Linked DNA regions of Drosophila melanogaster. The protein of the gene in region 1 interacts with the protein of each later gene in a pairwise test. Each region holds a gene or a part of one and is shown on either strand. Other genes may lie near its edges. The genes, in order: CG14384 and gdrd.

The links.
Region 2: the proteins of CG14384 (region 1) and gdrd interact in a two-hybrid assay, tested with the Drosophila melanogaster proteins (one large-scale study listed by BioGRID).

Annotation. Positions count from the first base shown.
Region 1 is NT_033777.3:12,965,438-12,970,115, reverse strand, and holds CG14384 (uncharacterized protein), read left to right. Parts: upstream 1-2,403; 5' UTR 2,404-2,515; coding exon of another isoform or gene 2,516-2,662; intron 2,663-2,737; coding exon of another isoform or gene 2,738-2,956; intron 2,957-3,367; 5' UTR 3,368-3,513; coding exon 3,514-3,563; intron 3,564-3,639; coding exon 3,640-4,087; 3' UTR 4,088-4,178; downstream 4,179-4,678. Other genes in the region: CG7381 (uncharacterized protein), read left to right, coding at 1-485, 576-695, 766-885, 949-1,353, 1,423-1,554, 1,619-1,771, 1,833-1,933; Cyp304a1 (cytochrome P450 304a1), read right to left, coding at 4,344-4,673; grsm (granny smith), read left to right, coding at 2,516-2,662, 2,738-2,956.
Region 2 is NT_037436.4:14,689,641-14,692,462, forward strand, and holds gdrd (goddard), read left to right. Parts: upstream 1-1,706; 5' UTR 1,707-1,788; coding exon 1,789-2,130; 3' UTR 2,131-2,322; downstream 2,323-2,822.

The DNA.
Region 1 (4,678 bases):
CACCAATCCGGGCTCGCCAGAGGATGATGATTCAACCACAGCCGAGGCGATCACCGAGACTGCCGATCCGGAACAGGAGACCGCTTTCAGTAGCCGAAGGCAGCTAACCAAGGCCTTTGTACACGCCCCCCCGCCCACTCACAGCGATGCCGCCGCCCAGGTGTCCTTCGCCCAGCTCACCAATGGCGACACCGAGCCGCTCATCTCGCCCCGATCCCACGAGATTGCCGTCCAGACGAGCATCGAGAAGTACGAGCTGAGGGAGGTGGGACGAAGTGTGCGCAATGCGGCCACCGCCACCACCACAACGACAGCCACCGCCTCCACGAGCACCAGTAGCAGGCGCAACTCCAGCCGCAACCAGAGACACGCCCATGGCCAAAGACGCCGCTTGCCCGCCCTCTTCCGATTCGATGACGAGGATATAAAGACCTACTCCACGCTGGGTTCCAGCCGCGATGACGACGATGCCGATGAGAAGAAGTGTGAGTATCCAAGAATGCCCCCAAAAAAATGAAGTCTCTCAATGCTTAGGCAATCTTAAATATATTTCAACTATTTTTTTTCCCATTTAGATGGCAGCAGCTGCACGGATAATGGAAAGACATGCTCGGGTCTGCCGCACTCGATTTGTTCCAAGAATATTTGCCTATGTCGCCAGGGTTACTATGCCCGCAATGGAAAATGTTTTGCCGGTGAGTAAACTGGGTTTCCCCCAATTTAATTCTTCTATTAATGAAATTAACTGAAATGAAAATTCTTTAGAACTGGGGGAAATTGCGGAGAGCACGGATGAGTGCGAGTACGAGTTCGATCAGTTGACCAAAACTTGCAATTGCCAAAAGAATTATTTCTACGAGCGGGATCTGCGCAATTGCAGAAAACGTAGGTGGTTCCAACGCTAGCTGCTGAATCGCACTTAAGATATATCCTTTTCCATCAAAACAGCCATTCAATACCACTTATCCTGCACCTCGAACAGCCAATGCAGTCCATTTGGCGCCTCCTATTGCCACCCGGAGATTCCGAGGAGGTGCACCTGCGAGGAGTACGCTCTCTACGATGCCATCAAGCAGCTCTGCGAATACAAACGTGGCCTGGGAGCCGAGTGTGAGTCGAACGATGGCTGTCCTGTGGATCACTCCGTCTGCTCCAATCGCGTGTGCGTTTGTGCGGACAACTACTTTGAGAAGGACGATCAGTGTATGCGTGGCATCGGTGCCGACTGCTCGGTGGAGGATGACTGCATACCTGAGAACACCGAATGCCAGGAGAAGGACGAGGAGGATCAGTCGCGCACCTGCCAGTGCCGAAAGGGATACGTGCACTTTAAGGATGAGTGCCTAAAAGAGGGTTAGTACTCAGAAGCTGAAATGCAAAGCAGCAAAATTATGCCCTGCCCCACATTACATTTCATTATAGCCGAGGAGCTGGAGGACGAGTGCGTCGAGGATGAGCAGTGCAAGCCGCTCCTGGCGAGCTGCAATTCGGAGGGCAAGTGTGGATGCAACGATGAGCAGCATGCTAAGAACGGAGTCTGTGAGACGAAGCGAGGTAATTGAGTCGCTAAGCTTTCTTTAATTATTTGTAATAATTCTAATATGTTGCAATCTTGCAGAGCTGGGAGAGTCGTGCACCAAGGCCACCGAGTGCTATGTAGAAAAGGATCCCGAGAATGTCGAGTGCCGCAACTCCGTGTGCCAGTGCAAGCTGGGCTACTCGGCGAACGCCAATCAGAATCAATGCATTCGCGTGATGCCCAATAAGAAAAGTAAGTGTCCTTGCAAAACCAATTGAGTAAGGATGATCTATGAATGTCACGCTTTTCGCAGATTCTTCCGGTAGACCAAGTGCTCTCAAAATCATCACCTTCATGCTGATTGGCTCCGCTTTCCTTATCACCAGTGCGGCCATAAAGCAGGCCTACTACTAGAACCAAACCAAAACCTAAATCCTTTCACCTGCGTGTTTGGGGAATGGCGAGGATAATCGAGGGAGGAGTTGGCCAAGGACCTTGGGGGGATCGGGGTGATTTGGGGATCGGCGGGAGTGGCCAGTATTAGCCAAGTTACTGGCATGGATGCAGGTCCATGCGCAACGTGAATATAAATCAATTAGTTCGTAAGTTGATATTTAGGAGTCGAAGCAATATAAATTTGGAGAAAGGGTCCTCGGAACGGAACGACTCTCGCTTATCTAATACGGCTAAGTGTAATGACAAATTATCTGTAAGTTTTGAAGTTAAACCGCTTGTTGCTAGGCTAAGCGAACAGTTTTTAACCAAATTGTAATATATACATCATAATAAACTAAGGCCAACGAAGAGTTGTGTATCAAATCCAGAAACTGGCAATTATTATTAAACAAGTAGTTTTGAGATTTCACTTCTATCAGTTAGCAACAGCAACTCAACTCAAATTTGTACCTTTCAATTTTTCAAGCTCGAATGTTTTGTACGTAATTCTTAGTTTAGCATCCTAAATTTCAGTACGTTAGTTGAAAAGTATAAGTAGAGATGGCACCGTATCCAAACGGCTTTTTAAGTTACGCGGTGGCTATACATCTTAAATCCCCGCACCTCCAAATGGAGGAGTCACTGCGTCAGGGAGCGGGGTACTGGAATGCATTGAGTTCGCGAGAAAAGAATCAGTATCGATCGAAAGTAAGTTCCTAGGGATTACACACTTTCCCCCTGACCGGCGAACTTTATCTTCTGCCCTTCGTTAATACCCTGCAGTACCAGAAACGGTGTCTCAGCAAAAGCTCCACTTCGCGTCATCGGCGTCAATCGGAGAAACTCAAACATATGGGATGCGGCCGCAAGAAAATAGTGCCCAAGTGTTCCCGAAAGCCCACGACTCCGGCCTGCAAGCCAAGGAGCGTCAATAGGTGTCCCCGGAAAAGCAGCTCCAACCGCTCGAGTCGTGAATGCATGCTGATGAAGTCACCAAAAGGCGTAAGTGCCAGTAGTTTAAATAATATTAACATTTATTTTATTATTTATAAAAGTTACTTTTAAGTAAGATATATTTTCATGTGTATGTCAACTTCACTTGTTTTGATAGTGAATTTTAAACACTGGGTTCATAGCGAACAAGTTGTCGTTTTCGTAACCAAACAATTATCACCTTGTTTTCAACTCTATTTTCTATTTTTTTTGTTGCCACTCAATTGTCTTAATATTGATAAGGGCATTTTGGTCAAAGTGTTTGCACATTATCTTGCAGTTTGCTATTTTATTTTTGTTATCAGCTCGGCTAGTAAAACAATCTGCAGTAATTTGACTGTATCTTTTGATTTATATTCGATTTGCGACCCATTTAAAATGGAGATTAAAATCTAGGGACCTTGAATTTCTGTATTTCAGAAGCTCATATTTGCATTCGAATCGAAGAGAACAGTAAAACAGTGTCAAATATTTCTGGGTGAACTTTCCGAGTACAAATAGGTCAAAGTTGATTTTGTCGTAAGACAATTGCTAAACTGAACTGCCTATAAATTTCAAGTCTCAAAATGTCCCTCAATTGCCCGGTTCATAATAAGAACTCCAGTGGCTTAAACATGTAAGTTTCGGCCAAGAGATCGCTTTCGATATCCGGCGTATGTGTTCCTTGTGGTAACAATGTGGTTTGCATACAGTACCAGGTCCGCAACCTCGGATGACGTCAAGATCGCCATGTGCGCCTGCTTGGAATTGGCCAACTGTCGGGCCGAAAACTGTCAGCTGAAGAAGAAACTGACCGAATATGAGGCCAAGATCTGCAGTCTCGAACAACTGGTGGCCACCATTGCGGAGGAGCAGAACCAGATTCGCCAAGAAGTGATCGAGTTGCGCAATGAGACTCAGGGTGCAACGATGGAAGCCGCCAACGAGGTGGATCCTTTGGACAACTCATTCGTGAACCCGCAAGAGGAAATGGACGATGAGGAAGGATACGATCCGGATTCAGAATCCGAGTACAATGCTATCCAGTCCCCCAATCCCTCAATACATTCTTCGATGGTCTCGCTGGTTCGCTCATTGAGTTTTTCATCCACCAGCTCAGATTCTGATTGCATTGTATACAGCGATAATGAGGATTTCTAAGAAACCCATCTCATTCCAATCGCATCTTCTCAACAAGTTCCGTTCGCGAACTTTGATACCACACGATATGAGTAAACGACAATGTTAAAATAAATAGTTCGTTGTGGTGCATCACATAATAGTATTGGGCAATTCTAGAATATTTTTGAAATGTGACGGAATAAAATTCCTCAAAAAATATCCAAGCAAACTAGCTAACGTAATCAGTAAAATTACTTTGTCTTAAAAATAGATAACTCTAATATCTTGGCTACTTTCAATGCCGATCCTGTAGTTGCAGCCAGAAATCTGGTGGCGAAATAATCAGTCCATTGAGGTTCTGGGAGAGATCGGGCAACCGATCATTGGGGCCCAGGACGAAGTCAAAGTGCTGGCACATGGTCGCTGTCACCAGGAAGAGCATGTTGCGCGCAAATGTCTCGCCGGCACAGAGCCGTTTTCCCGCTCCAAAGGGCAGCGAGACATCCAGTTTCAGGCAGAGCTTGCCATCCGCGTCCAGGAATCTCTCCGGCCGGAACTGCTCCGGATCCGACCAAATACGGGCGTCCGAGTGGAAGGCATACAGGCTGGGCACGACAATGGTGTCCTGTA
Region 2 (2,822 bases), on another chromosome or scaffold:
AGAGCCTAACGAACTGGGAAATGGTCTCTGAACATTCAATTATATCATCAATTAGTTGGTCGTGCAACATGTTGCAAGAGTGATTTGGACAGCAGATTAGGCAACAGCATGAGACCACTTGGCATAAACAAGGGTAGGGATTTAGAGGGTTTTTTCATATGTACATCTCTACTAATTTAGATTGATCGCGAGCTGTTATTTTAAATATTTAATGTGAAATATGTGCGTAAAAAAATGTCGATAAAACTCGTAACGAGTTTTATGTTATGATTCTGTGAAATATAAAAAACAGAGCTTTAACTGTTATAACATATAATGAGTTGGGTATTGTAAATATTAAATATTAAACGTATGGCTTTCTTATATTTCTTAATCAACTATTTATTTATTCCGAGTACATTTTATTTTTAATTTGTAATTTAACTTCAGTGACAGGATTTCTTTACAACATTTTTTCACCAGATTCCTACACTTATTTACAAAAACTTAATTTATCCCGTAGTTTATTACGCCCGAAGATACAAGCGAACAAACTAGAGCGAGCTGAAAAATGTTGCCTACTTAGCAGCGCAACGAGTTTTCAATAGAAAGCCCATAAAGTGAAAGACGTCGCAAAAGTCAAAGCCTTGCCACAAGCCAAATGCCAAATGGCATTATCAATAGAGGATTCAGCGAATCCCGGAAGATATAGAAAGCCAAGTGTGTGAATTTAACTTGGTGCAGTCATGAACATGCATTCGCAGCTACAGCTCCATATATACATCTTAGTATGTGTGTAGTGCCATGCCATTTATTCCATTGAACAAAAAGTCATTTGTAAGTGTTTTTATGCGTAACGGAATTTATGAGGAGCAGTTCCTCAGCAGATTTATTGCTTTATTACGATGTGGCAGAGCGATGGGTATCAAGATGGGAATCCAGTTTGGCGACAAAGGCCAGAGAAAAATAAAGAAATGGCTGGCAAATATTTAGCACATGGAGGCGAAAAACTCACTGAAAGAATGATGGCAAAGAGCCATGGGAAAAGGGGAGGGTTAAGGGGAAAATGGCGAGAGAATGAATGCTGCATTTCCTCCCTTTTCGGCTTTTGTCTCTCTTTTTCTGCGTACGGATTTTCCTCGAATGGTGGCGGGCTGTGGGTGGAACGGGTGGACGGAATGGGGTGGACCTTGAGGGCGTTTCACATCGTCGACATCGTCATCAGCATCATTCTCATTGCAGTCGTTAAGTTATAGACTTTGATTTCGTTCGCCTCGTTCAGCTGTGGGGAAACTTTTATCCTCACTGCCACCCAAAGTGCGTCCTTTTTGGCAGAGTCGTTTCAGAGATTTATTTGCCTTGTGCCCTGGCAACTTTCGACTCTCGACATCCATATCCGTATCGTTTGCTCTCCTCGCTCTTAAATTGCTTTAATTGATTTCTGATTTTATGACCCTGCTGAACACATTTCACACATGATTACATGCCAAGTGGGTTGCGATTTCTTAAGAGGTTTTAAATCCGTCTATTCTTAATTTTGAAGATAATTAAAACGTTGGTTTTAAATAAAAAATATAGTTTGATGTGTCGCTTAATTAAAAATGTTTCAACGTTGTGACCATCTACTCATATTTATGGAGTTTGGATTAATACTATTGTTTATTGTATAGAGTTACTATATCAAACATGCTGCTCTCGATTTTGTTGTCAGTATAAATTCTGTCTTTGATCTGTTTGCACTTAAGTCTGTTCTAGTTCACAGCTCCTGAATAACTATTGAAATTTCTGAAATATATTTTTTTTGTCAAAATGTCGGACGACGGATCTGATATATTCCAAGACCTTGAAAGCTACGAGCCCTATACAGAAGGTAGCCAAAACAATAGTGACGAAGCAACTGCAGTGGGGCCTCTCGATACCTCTGAGGACGCTCGCTTCTCCGAGCAGGTATTCTCGAACATTCAGGAGCGTCTGAACCGAATCATTAATCGCATTAGCATGGCCAACTCTGCCGTGGTCCAGATGAAGAGGAAGCTCCATGCTCGAATTCCATCCGTACCTGTTGGCGAAAACGCCGACCAGTTGGCTGGAGGCGATAATCCAATGCGATTTGAAAACGTCGAACAAGAAAACGAAACCACCAACCAATGATATAAGAACATTTTTATATTTCTCATTTTCAAAAATGTATAAATTTATTGTATTTATTTATTGTTATTGTTATTGAAGCCCATTTAACAAATCACAAACAGACCCGAGTTAATTGTTAAAAAATTATGCATTAACACAAGCCAAGGATTCGAAAACTAAGCGCATATAATAAACTGAGCAATGAGCAAAAGCAATACATTGTATACTGCCCTTATCGCCATAATCTAAACTATTTTCAACGATATTTGCAATTTATTAGTGGCCCTCCACACACAATTGCCAAACTTGCTTTCATTCGGTCCACAAACTTTGTGGACTTCTTTTCGGCGCATAATAAACTTTTCATTGACCGCCCTTCAAAAATGTTACCCCAAGCAATTTCGAGCAGCTGCATATTGTCAGGGGGCCTTTTGTTTTGTCGAAAACTTTGCAAAGTCGGAAAATTTGAGACTGAAATTTGCATTTGCCTTTCGCCACATTCACATAGAAAGACGAATTGCCTTGGAGCCAAACAAATATGTTAAAAGCAATAAATAAGAAAGGACATTCTTCAAGTTCGTCGTCTGCCGCTCGAGATATTGGCAAAACGTATTATATGCGATAAATTTCGACAGAAAGCTGAAGTCCGATACTTATCAGTGGAAATGAAGCCAAACATAATTTGCCATAAAATGCCGTTGCAGCGGCATTAA